Callithrix jacchus: one gene and its partner. The main gene of each other region encodes a partner of the protein of the gene in region 2 in a complex. Links are inferred from orthologs where the notes say so. Each region holds a gene or a part of one and is shown on either strand. Other genes may lie near its edges. The genes, in order: S100A1 and CAPZA2.

Region 1 (4,535 bases), on a different chromosome or scaffold from region 2:
CACTGCAACCTCCGCTCAGGCAATTCTCCTGCCTCAGCCTCCTGAGTAGCTGGGATTATAGTCATGTGCCACCATGCCCAGCTAATTTTTTTGTATTTTTAGTAGATACGGGGTTTCGCCATGTTGACCAGGATGGTCTCGATCTCTTGACCTCGTGATTCACCTGCCTCGGCCTCCCAAAGTGCTGGGATTACAGGCGTGAGTCACCGCGCCCGGCTATTTTTGTATTTTCAGTAGAGATGGGGTTTCACCACGTTGGCCAGGCTAGTCTTGAACTCCTGACCTCAGGTGATCCACCCGCCTCGGCCTCCCAAAGTGCTGGGATTACAGGTGTGAGCCACCTCACCCGGCCATACTGTGAGTCTTATTATTGACGAATCTATGCAGGGCCTAACACGTAACAGGTGATCAATAAACCAGGGCATTTTGACTTGACCCTGGAGGAGTAGAGGAGCCTGGAAAAAACCAGGAGAGAAGCCTGGCAAAGGAAAGAAGGAGGTTGGGCTGAGCTGGTAGTGGGGTGGGGAGACAGCAGGGGGGTGCCCACCCCGTTCCCACACCCCTTCACCCAGTCCACGTCCACTCCACCACTCTGTGCTCACATCCAGGAAGCCCGAGAGCTCCGTCTGCAGCAGCTCTTTCAGCTCCTTCTTGCTCAGCTTGTACTTGTCCCCCTCTTTGCCCGAGTGGGCGTGGAACACGTTGATGAGGGTCTCCATCGCCGTCTCCAGCTCAGAGCCCATTGCGGCAGTGCACCTACCCAACCCCATCAAGGAAAGGAGCTGAGGACCAGGCCCCGAGTACCTGGGGTCTAGGTGAGGGGAGCCCTCGGGCCTGGCCCTGGCTGACAGCTCAAATAGCTGTGGGATTAGAGCCCTACTGCAATTGATCTTTCCCTGAGATTTTACAATGTGAGGGAAACCCCAGCAGACCTAAATGCAGACCTGTTCTTCCTGTCCCTCAGTCTGTACTCCAGCCAGAAGGAATCAGGGTTGGGGCATGGAGAGAGCAGTTGGAGCTGGGCTGGCTCCAGAGGCCTGTGGTAGATGTCTGCGGTGGCTGCCCAGGCAGGGATTGAGGAGGGTGGGGCAGGCAGGGGTGGTCACAGGACTGGGCCATGCTTTCTCTGGCTCTATTTTTACCTTGGACCTTGCCTGCCTAGCATAGCTGAGCCCTGCTGTTGAGGGTGGTGGGCTGGGGTGTCCACTACAGCCTTGCCTCTGCTGCCCACCCCTAGCAAAGGTGTCAGTCTGATGCCCCCGGTCAGCCTGGCAGATGGGGTGGCAGCCCCAGTGGGTGGTCTAAGGCTTCTGGAGGAGGGAAGTCTCGCTGGCTCTGAGATTCTTGTCAGCAGCTGGGGCCCCTTTTGGTCCTTCAACTCTGTTCCCTCCTGAACGTGTCATTCTGACTTCTCTGAGGTATGCTTCTATAACCTCTGCAAAATTATCCTTTCCGTCTAGTGGGTGGTGGGAGGGGAGAGAGGAATGTCTGAGCCTTTTCCCTGGAGCCAGGGTTCCCAGGGATGGGGAGAGGAGACCTGCAGGCATTGTCCCTGTGATTGCCCTGGTTGATTCAGGGACAGTGAGAGCAGGGGGAGTGGGGCTGGTATGTGATGGGGGAGATAAAGGGCTGAGAGCATGTGGTCCTTTGAGTTCGAGGGGCCAGGAGAGAGTAGAAGAAAGGAGGGGTCTGTTGAGAGAGGAGACTGCCAAACCAGGGGGCCTCTTTCCCTTGGCCCTGGGACAGTCTGGCCCCCCACAGCCCCATGGGGGCAGCTCAGATGTCTGGGATCAGATGTCCCCATCCTTCCCCAGGCCTAGGGGGCTAGACAATGGGCCCTGATCGAATGACATCCCAGTTCTTCAATGGGGCCCTTGTAAGTGTCATCTGAGCTCCGGACCTGAGAAGTGGTTGTCACAGAGACATGAGGGAGATGGAACCCAAGCCATAGCTGATGAGGGGATAAAGGCTGCTCGAGGGAGGGATGCTGGAGGCTTGATTACCCGCTCCATGCCAGAGGGGCAGCTGGAGGTCGCGTGGAGCCCTAGAGCAGCCTGGGATTTTATGTGGGGCCAGTTCTGAGAGGACTTGGGGGTGGGGCAGATGGGAAAACAAAGAGGAAAGAATTGGGGGAAAGAGGAGTCAAGAGCTCTGGGCCAAAAAGGGGAGAAGGAGAAAGGGGAGGCCCTGAGGAGGCAGTGTTGGGAATGGGCACAGCACCCTCCATCCCCTTCCCCATATCATGGGAGGCTCGCCCTGCCACCCCAGACTCCAAGGGACCTGAGCTCTTGGCAAGGCAGGCAGGAGGGGTGGCAGAGACTAAGGCAGGCAGGAGGGGTGGGGGCAGAAACAGCTGTTGCATCTGCTCTCTTTTCACCCACAGGAAGTGAGGCAGGAGAGTGCAGGGGGCCCTCCCCAACACCTGGGAGACAGAAGGGGGCTTGGCAGGGACTTGAGGGCTCCCTGGGGAGGGCCAGGTGGCCAGGAAGCTCAGGGTGGGTTTCCCACTGGCCTCCTCCTTTGCTGAGCTGCCAGCTCTCTCTGACCTTTGGTTCATTTGCCTCTCCTCACCACCTTCCAGACCCTGTCTCCCCCAGATCCCAAACTGCCCTCACCCTGACTGACTCCTGCCAGATCGTCAGTGCTCCACAGCGCTATGGTCCCCAGCTCTTCAGAGCCCTTCTGAAGACCCCTCTCCCCAAACCTGGCCGGCCAGGACCAGCCCAGTAGGGCAGGGTACTCACGGTCAGCCTGGGCCTGAGGTGGGAGCAGGTTCTGGACAGACGGCCGAGGCTTCAAATGTGGCTGTTGGAGCTGTGTGTGGAGACCTGTCTTCAGCCGTCCCTCCCCCGCTGACCCCCCGCCACCGACTCCACCCCTTCACAGGCAGACACCCTGTGGGGCAAAGGGCCAGGAGCTGACAGAGGCGCCCTCTGTCTCCTGGGCTGGAACAGGCGGCCCTTGTCTCTTTCCAGCCTTGCTTGGCCCGTTCCTTTCTCTCTGGGCAGCAGCGGATGGTGCAGGGGAAGAGGTGGGAAGGAGATCCTGGGAAGGAACTGGACCTCTCACCCCAAGCTGGGCCCTGCAGCACCTGCGGCTGGCTGTGCTGGTTGAGCCGGGGAAGGGGGGAATTCTGCTGAGGGGGTCTTAGTCTGTGGCTCCTCCATGCAACCTCACTGAGAGGACCCTCAATGAGTAACTTAGTCTTGGGAGTCTGAGACCCCACAGAGGGATTTCAATCCCAGACTCTTGGGGGTCTCAACTTGGATCCCTCTCTGTGTGTGGGGCCTCAGCCTGGGGTTCTCTGAGGGATCTTGGTCTGTAGCATCCTTTGTGGGTCTCATTTTTTTTTGAGACTGAGTCTTACTCTGTCACCCAGGCTGGAGTGCAATGGCGCAATCTAGGCTCACTGCAACCTCTGCCTCCTGGGTTCCAATGGTTCTTCTGCCTCAACCTCCTGAGTAGCTGACATTACAGGCATACACCACCACACCCGGCCAATTTTTGTATTTTTAGTAGAGGCAGGGTTTCATCATGTTGGTCAGGCTGATCTGGAACTCCTGACTTCAGATGATCCCCTCGCCTCCGCCTCCCAAAGTGCTGGGATTACAGGCGTGAGCCACTGCGCCCTGCCTGTGGGGGGGGTCTAATTTTTTTTTGAGATGGAGTTTCGCTCTTGTTACCCAGGCTGGAGTGTGATGGCCCGATCTCGGCTCACCGTAACCTCCGCCTCCTGGGTTCAGGCAATTCTCCTGCCTCAGCCTCCCAGCTGGGATTACAGGCACACACCACCATGCCCAGCTAGGGGCCAACGTTTGTATCTCAGATTGGGCCTCCCAATGTTGAGCTCCCTCAGTTGGTTGCCTCCCCCTTCCCCCACTCAGCATACACACTCCTGATTAGATGTGGGGTGTGGTGGCAGCAGCCCCCAATATTGAGAGGAGTGGGACCCTGGGACCCCTGCTGAACATTTGTCCAGGCAGCTCCTCTCCTTGACCAAGTGGGGGCGCTCGTGTGGCTGGCAGGGAGCCCGGGTCCAGGCCTGACGGTTCAGGCGAGAGGCGCGATTGGGCGGTCTCTGGTCTTCAGGATCGACCATAGAAATCTGACACCTCCGGGCTTGGAAGCTGCTGCTCTCTACTCTTTCCCCCCTCCTCGCCGCTTATAAACCTCAGCCCTGAGGCTCCAGCTCGCTGCACCCCATCTCCTTGCACGGTTAGTCTCTTGACGGACCCTGGAGGGAGCCTGGAGATCATTTTTAATTCCTGGGCTCACAGGTCCCTCCCCCAGAGCCAGCTCAGGCAGAAATTCAGGAAGCAGCTTTGGGTGATCGAGCAACAGTGCGTGCAGGAGTGCGTGGGGGGTGGACGGCAACAGTGCGTGCAGGAGTGCGTGGGGGGTGGACGGCAACAGTGCGTGCAGGAGTGCGTGGGGGGTGGACGGCAACAGTGCGTGCAGGAGTGCGTGGGGGGTGGACGGCAACAGTGCGTGCAGGAGTGCTTGGGGGGTGGACGGGTGGGCGGAAATGAGAATGC
Region 2 (4,345 bases):
TTTTTTTTGAGACGGAGTTTCACTCATTACCCAGGCTCGAGTGCAATGGCGCGATCTCGGCTCACGGCAACCTCCGCCTCCTGGGTTCAGGCAATTCTCCTGCCTCTGCCTCCCGAGTAGCTGGGATTACAGGCACGCGCCACCACGCCCAGCTAATTTTTTATATTTTTAGTAGAGACGGGGTTTCACCATGTTGACCAGGATGGTATCGATCTCTTGACCTCGTGATCCACCCGCCTCGGCCTCCCAAAGTGCTGGGATTACAGGCTTGAGCCACCGCGCCCGGCCTACTAAAAGCTTTTGAACTTCACTCTACTCATCTGTGAAATGGTAGTAGGACAACTACCTCTTAAAACAAATTAAGTAATGAATGTATCTAACTCAGCCAAGCATATATAAAGTATAGTACTAGATACATCTTAACAGCTTCCCTTTCTTAGATTTGCAATCTAGAATGGAAATTTCGAAAACTTAAAACTTATTATTTTTTAGAGATGAGGTCTCACTATGTTGCCCAACTGGTTTACAACTTCTAGGCTCAAGCAATTCTCCGCATTTGGCATCCAGAGTAGCTGGCATTACAGGTGCAAACCACTGTGTCCAGCTTGAGAACTTATTTTTGAAAATTACCAAAAAGACGGTAGAAAGAGAAATATTAATATATCACTTTCAAGTCCTCTCTGTTTCTGATCCCATACTGGACACATCCTCCACCCCAAAATGAAAAATACCTTTAGATATCTAAAGTGACAAGAACGTTAAAATTTCACTTAACTGGTTACTTGCATTTACCCCAAAAGTTCTGTCAGTTTTTTAATTAGTAAATATAGTGATGAAATTTATATGTATAATATCTACAGAATATTCTTACAAAACACCAAAAATCAAATTAGAATTTTCACTAATTTACCCATAAAACATTTTGCTAGTAGGCGGCGCAAGCTTGAAGACACACAACCTCCTCACTCCTCCTCATGAAGCTTAGTGCCCTGAGACTGCTGGATAATAAGGAATTTTGTAAACCCATTTTTTAAAAGCTTTTTAATTTTAGGCCTTTACAACACATGGCAGGTCTATATTAACTCCCACACAGTATTCTCTCTTCAGCTAAATTTCTAGCCACTTGAGCAACTACTAATTACGACTTAAGAATGGTAAAATAAAAACGTGACAATCTCTTTTTAAACTTTTTAGCACAACTCAATTTTAAATATGTGTTTGTGCACTCCAGTGCATTTTCGGACAGCTACTTTGGGTTATTTACCAAGACTGTAGACGTGAATACTGCACAGCAACTTTTCTGGATACAGGGATCTGCCTACTGGGGGTTATGGAGATGTTGCTCACCCCCATTTTGTTGCTGTATTATCACTTTCACCAAAGAGCACAAGAGGAAAAAATATTTCCAAAATAAAGATGAGATTGACTTCTGCCCATTCACATCGGGAATGGGACGGAACCTTCTCTTTCAGTGCAAGAATACAGTATATAAAAACATCTAGAGCAGAGGGTCCAAATTGAAAATATCCTCAAACTTACGTGAGGATCTGTTAACCACCACAACGTACCTAAAGGTACTTGTATTTTCCTGCATTGGCTATACAGCTTTGGAACTTAAAAATGAAGCACACTTTAACGAAGAGTTAAAGAGCATTTCCAACCCTGCAACTAACTCATTCGTGTCTGTCAGTTACTTCGGGAGTACTTCTAAGTTTGAGAAACCTCAGGTTCCTTTCCGAGAAACTGTCAAAATTAGCAGAGTTCTCCCCTACCCCACTACCCTCGGGAACCGGACGTTCGCAAAAGCCAAAGGAAAGGAGAGTGTAAAAGAGCAACAGTTCAATGAATTATTCGATTTCTCGTTTTAAATATCTGAGAACTTATGTCGTTCACCTGGTTCCAGTGTTGTCACAGCATCTAACATACAGTAAAAGGACTTGCACAATTTCCCCTCTTCGGAAGAAGTCCTAGCAGGAAGGTAAGGTGCCATCAAATCGCCCCCCGGGGGGGCTGCTGCCAACGTGGATAGAAAACAACTATGGGGAGGGGGTCGTCTTTTTGTGAGCAACTCCACTGCCTCTTGAGGAACATGGGAGCTGCAAAGCCTAAAGCTAGAGCCACGAAGTGAGAGGGCGGGCGGGCGGGAGAGAGACAGGCCTCCATGGGGAAAGGAAAAAAAAAAGCATAAAACGTAGAGAATCAGAAAAGGAAGCATTTTGCTTTGGGGAGGGGGAAGTAGAAGGGAGAACTGAAGGTCTGCTTCCTAAGCAATTTTTCCCTTCCCCTCACCCGCCGCTACACTCACAGGCCAGGCTGCCGCTCTGGGCACTGCCCTTGGGCCGCTCCCAAGCCGGGACGCAGACCCCTTTGCGCCCCCGGTCCCCGGTCCCCGGCCCCCGGCCCCCAGCTCCCGGCGCAGGCCCCGCGGCCGGGTAACAGGAGAGGGTCCCGGGCGGCCGCCGCCCTCCCCGGCGCCCGCGCCCCCGCCCCCGCCCGCCGCCGCCTGGCTCCCCTTTCCTATTTTCGGAGCACACACCCTACAAGGAGCGGAGTGAGTAGGCCTGGCTGAGACCTGCCCCCGCGCGGGGCCTCGGGTGACGGACGGGGGCAGGCACTGGGCGCAGTGAGGAAGGGGGGAGGAAGGGCAGCCGAGGGCACCGCCCGCTGCGGGCCAATGCTTCCCCAGCGACCCGACTCCGGGCGCACAAGCCAGGGCTGAGCCGGCTCCTGAAGGCCCGCGCCGCCGCCCCCGCGGCTCTTACCTTCTCTTCATCAGACAACTGCTCCTCCAGATCCGCCATCTTCCTTCTAGCGACAAACCGCGGCGGCGGCGGCGGCGGCGGCGGCCACCTGACTTCCCCTTTTCCGTGCGGTCCTCCGCGCCGCGCACCCCCGCTAAGGGAGGGGCCCGCCGCTCAGGCCGCCGCGCACGCGCCCCGGGAGCCCCGCCTCCCTCGACCGGCCCTCAGAGCCTGAGCGCGGCTGTGCGCGTGCGCGTGCGCGGGCGCCTGGTGGCCCGGCGGGGGACGGTGTCTCCCAGGGCCACCTGCATAGGTTTGCTAGCTTTCTCTCCCCACCAGTGACCATATGGGCTCAGTCTGCGATGAGTACATTCTGAGCCCTTCGTTATGTTTCCATCAAGTCCTGAACTCTGCTAGCTAAAATGTGAAAAGGTGTGCAATAGAAGCTTTTTAAACATTGGTTTTTCAAATATTAGAAAAAATAGTCGGCTTTCATTAAAATACACACACCCAACCCGCTCCATAATTGAAAGATTGCTCTTGATATATTTCTTATTTATCCAACAAATATTTTTTGGTCCTTCAACGGGGTGTGGGGCACTGTGTTAGTCTCCGGGGTTACAGTGTTGAGGTTCCCCCAAAGCAAGCTAGACATGCATGTTCATAGCAGCACAATTCGCAATTGCAGAGATGGAACCAACCTAAGTGTCTATCAACCAACGAGGGGATAGAGAAAATGTGGTATATATACACCATGGAATACTACTCAGCCATAAAAAAGAAGGAAATAATATTTTTTGCAGCAACTTGAAAGGAGCTGGAAGCCATTATTCTAAGTGAAGTAACTCAGTAATAGGAAACCAAATATCCTATGTTCTCACTTAAAAGGGTGAGCTAAGTTCTGGGGGTGCAAAGGCATAAAATGGACTTTGGGGATTGGGGAGGGGATAAATGACTACATACCGGGAACAGGGTACACTGCTCAGGTGATGGCTGCACTAAAATCTCAGAAATCACCACTAAAGGGCTTATCCATGTAACCAAAAATCCACCTGTACTCCAAAACTATTTATTTCAATAAGACAAACTTCTGTTCTAGGAAGCTCACCTACTACTCTAAACAAACATACATTGAACAGCTGGGGCTGGGTGTAGTGGCTCAGGCCTGTAATCCCAGCACTTTGGGAGGCCTCGGTGGGAGGATCACCTGAGGTCAGGAGTTCGGGACCGGACTGGCCAACATGGAGAAAGTTCTCTCTACTAAAAATACAAAAATTAGCCAAGCCATGGTGGCACATGCCTGTAGTACCAGCTACTTGGGAGGCTGAGGCAAGAGAATTGCTTGAACCCTGGAGGGGGAGGTTGCAGTGAGCCGAGATCGAGTCATTGCACTCCAGCCTGGGCGACAGAGCAAGACTCAAAAACAAAAAAAACCAAAAGCCAAACAACAAAATAGTTGGGGAAGGCATTGGACTATTCCAGGGGAGTACAAAGTCATGTTAGTCATGGATCCTACCCTCTTGAATAGGGTTGCCATATTAAATATAGGACACTTACTCAAATGTGAATTGCAGATAAGCAATTTTTTTTTCTTTTTGACACAG

The links.
Region 1: the proteins of CAPZA2 (region 2) and S100A1 are in contact, whole or in part, in an NMR structure (PDB 2KBM), measured with the Rattus norvegicus proteins. The link is inferred for Callithrix jacchus from reciprocal best matches to the Homo sapiens genes CAPZA2 and S100A1. Residues at the interface, in NP_001009180.1 of Rattus norvegicus: Thr267, Lys268, Ile269, Asp270, Trp271, Asn272, Lys273, Ile274, Leu275, Ser276; in NP_001007637.1 of Rattus norvegicus: Ser44, Phe45, Leu46, Asp47, Lys50, Asp51, Ala54, Lys57, Ile58, Glu61, Leu78, Ala81, Leu82, Thr83, Ala85, Cys86.

The regions. Positions count from the first base shown.
Region 1 is NC_133519.1:14,044,674-14,049,208, reverse strand, and holds the start of S100A1 (protein S100-A1), read right to left. Parts: upstream 2,804-4,535; 5' UTR 2,616-2,803; intron 1,419-2,615; exon of another isoform or gene 1,164-1,418; intron 757-1,163; 5' UTR 744-756; coding exon 603-743; intron 1-602. UniProt on the Homo sapiens protein: Small calcium binding protein that plays important roles in several biological processes such as Ca(2+) homeostasis, chondrocyte biology and cardiomyocyte regulation.
Region 2 is NC_133512.1:87,439,782-87,444,126, reverse strand, and holds the start of CAPZA2 (F-actin-capping protein subunit alpha-2), read right to left. Parts: upstream 2,914-4,345; 5' UTR 2,802-2,913; coding exon 2,763-2,801; intron 1-2,762. UniProt on the Homo sapiens protein: F-actin-capping proteins bind in a Ca(2+)-independent manner to the fast growing ends of actin filaments (barbed end) thereby blocking the exchange of subunits at these ends.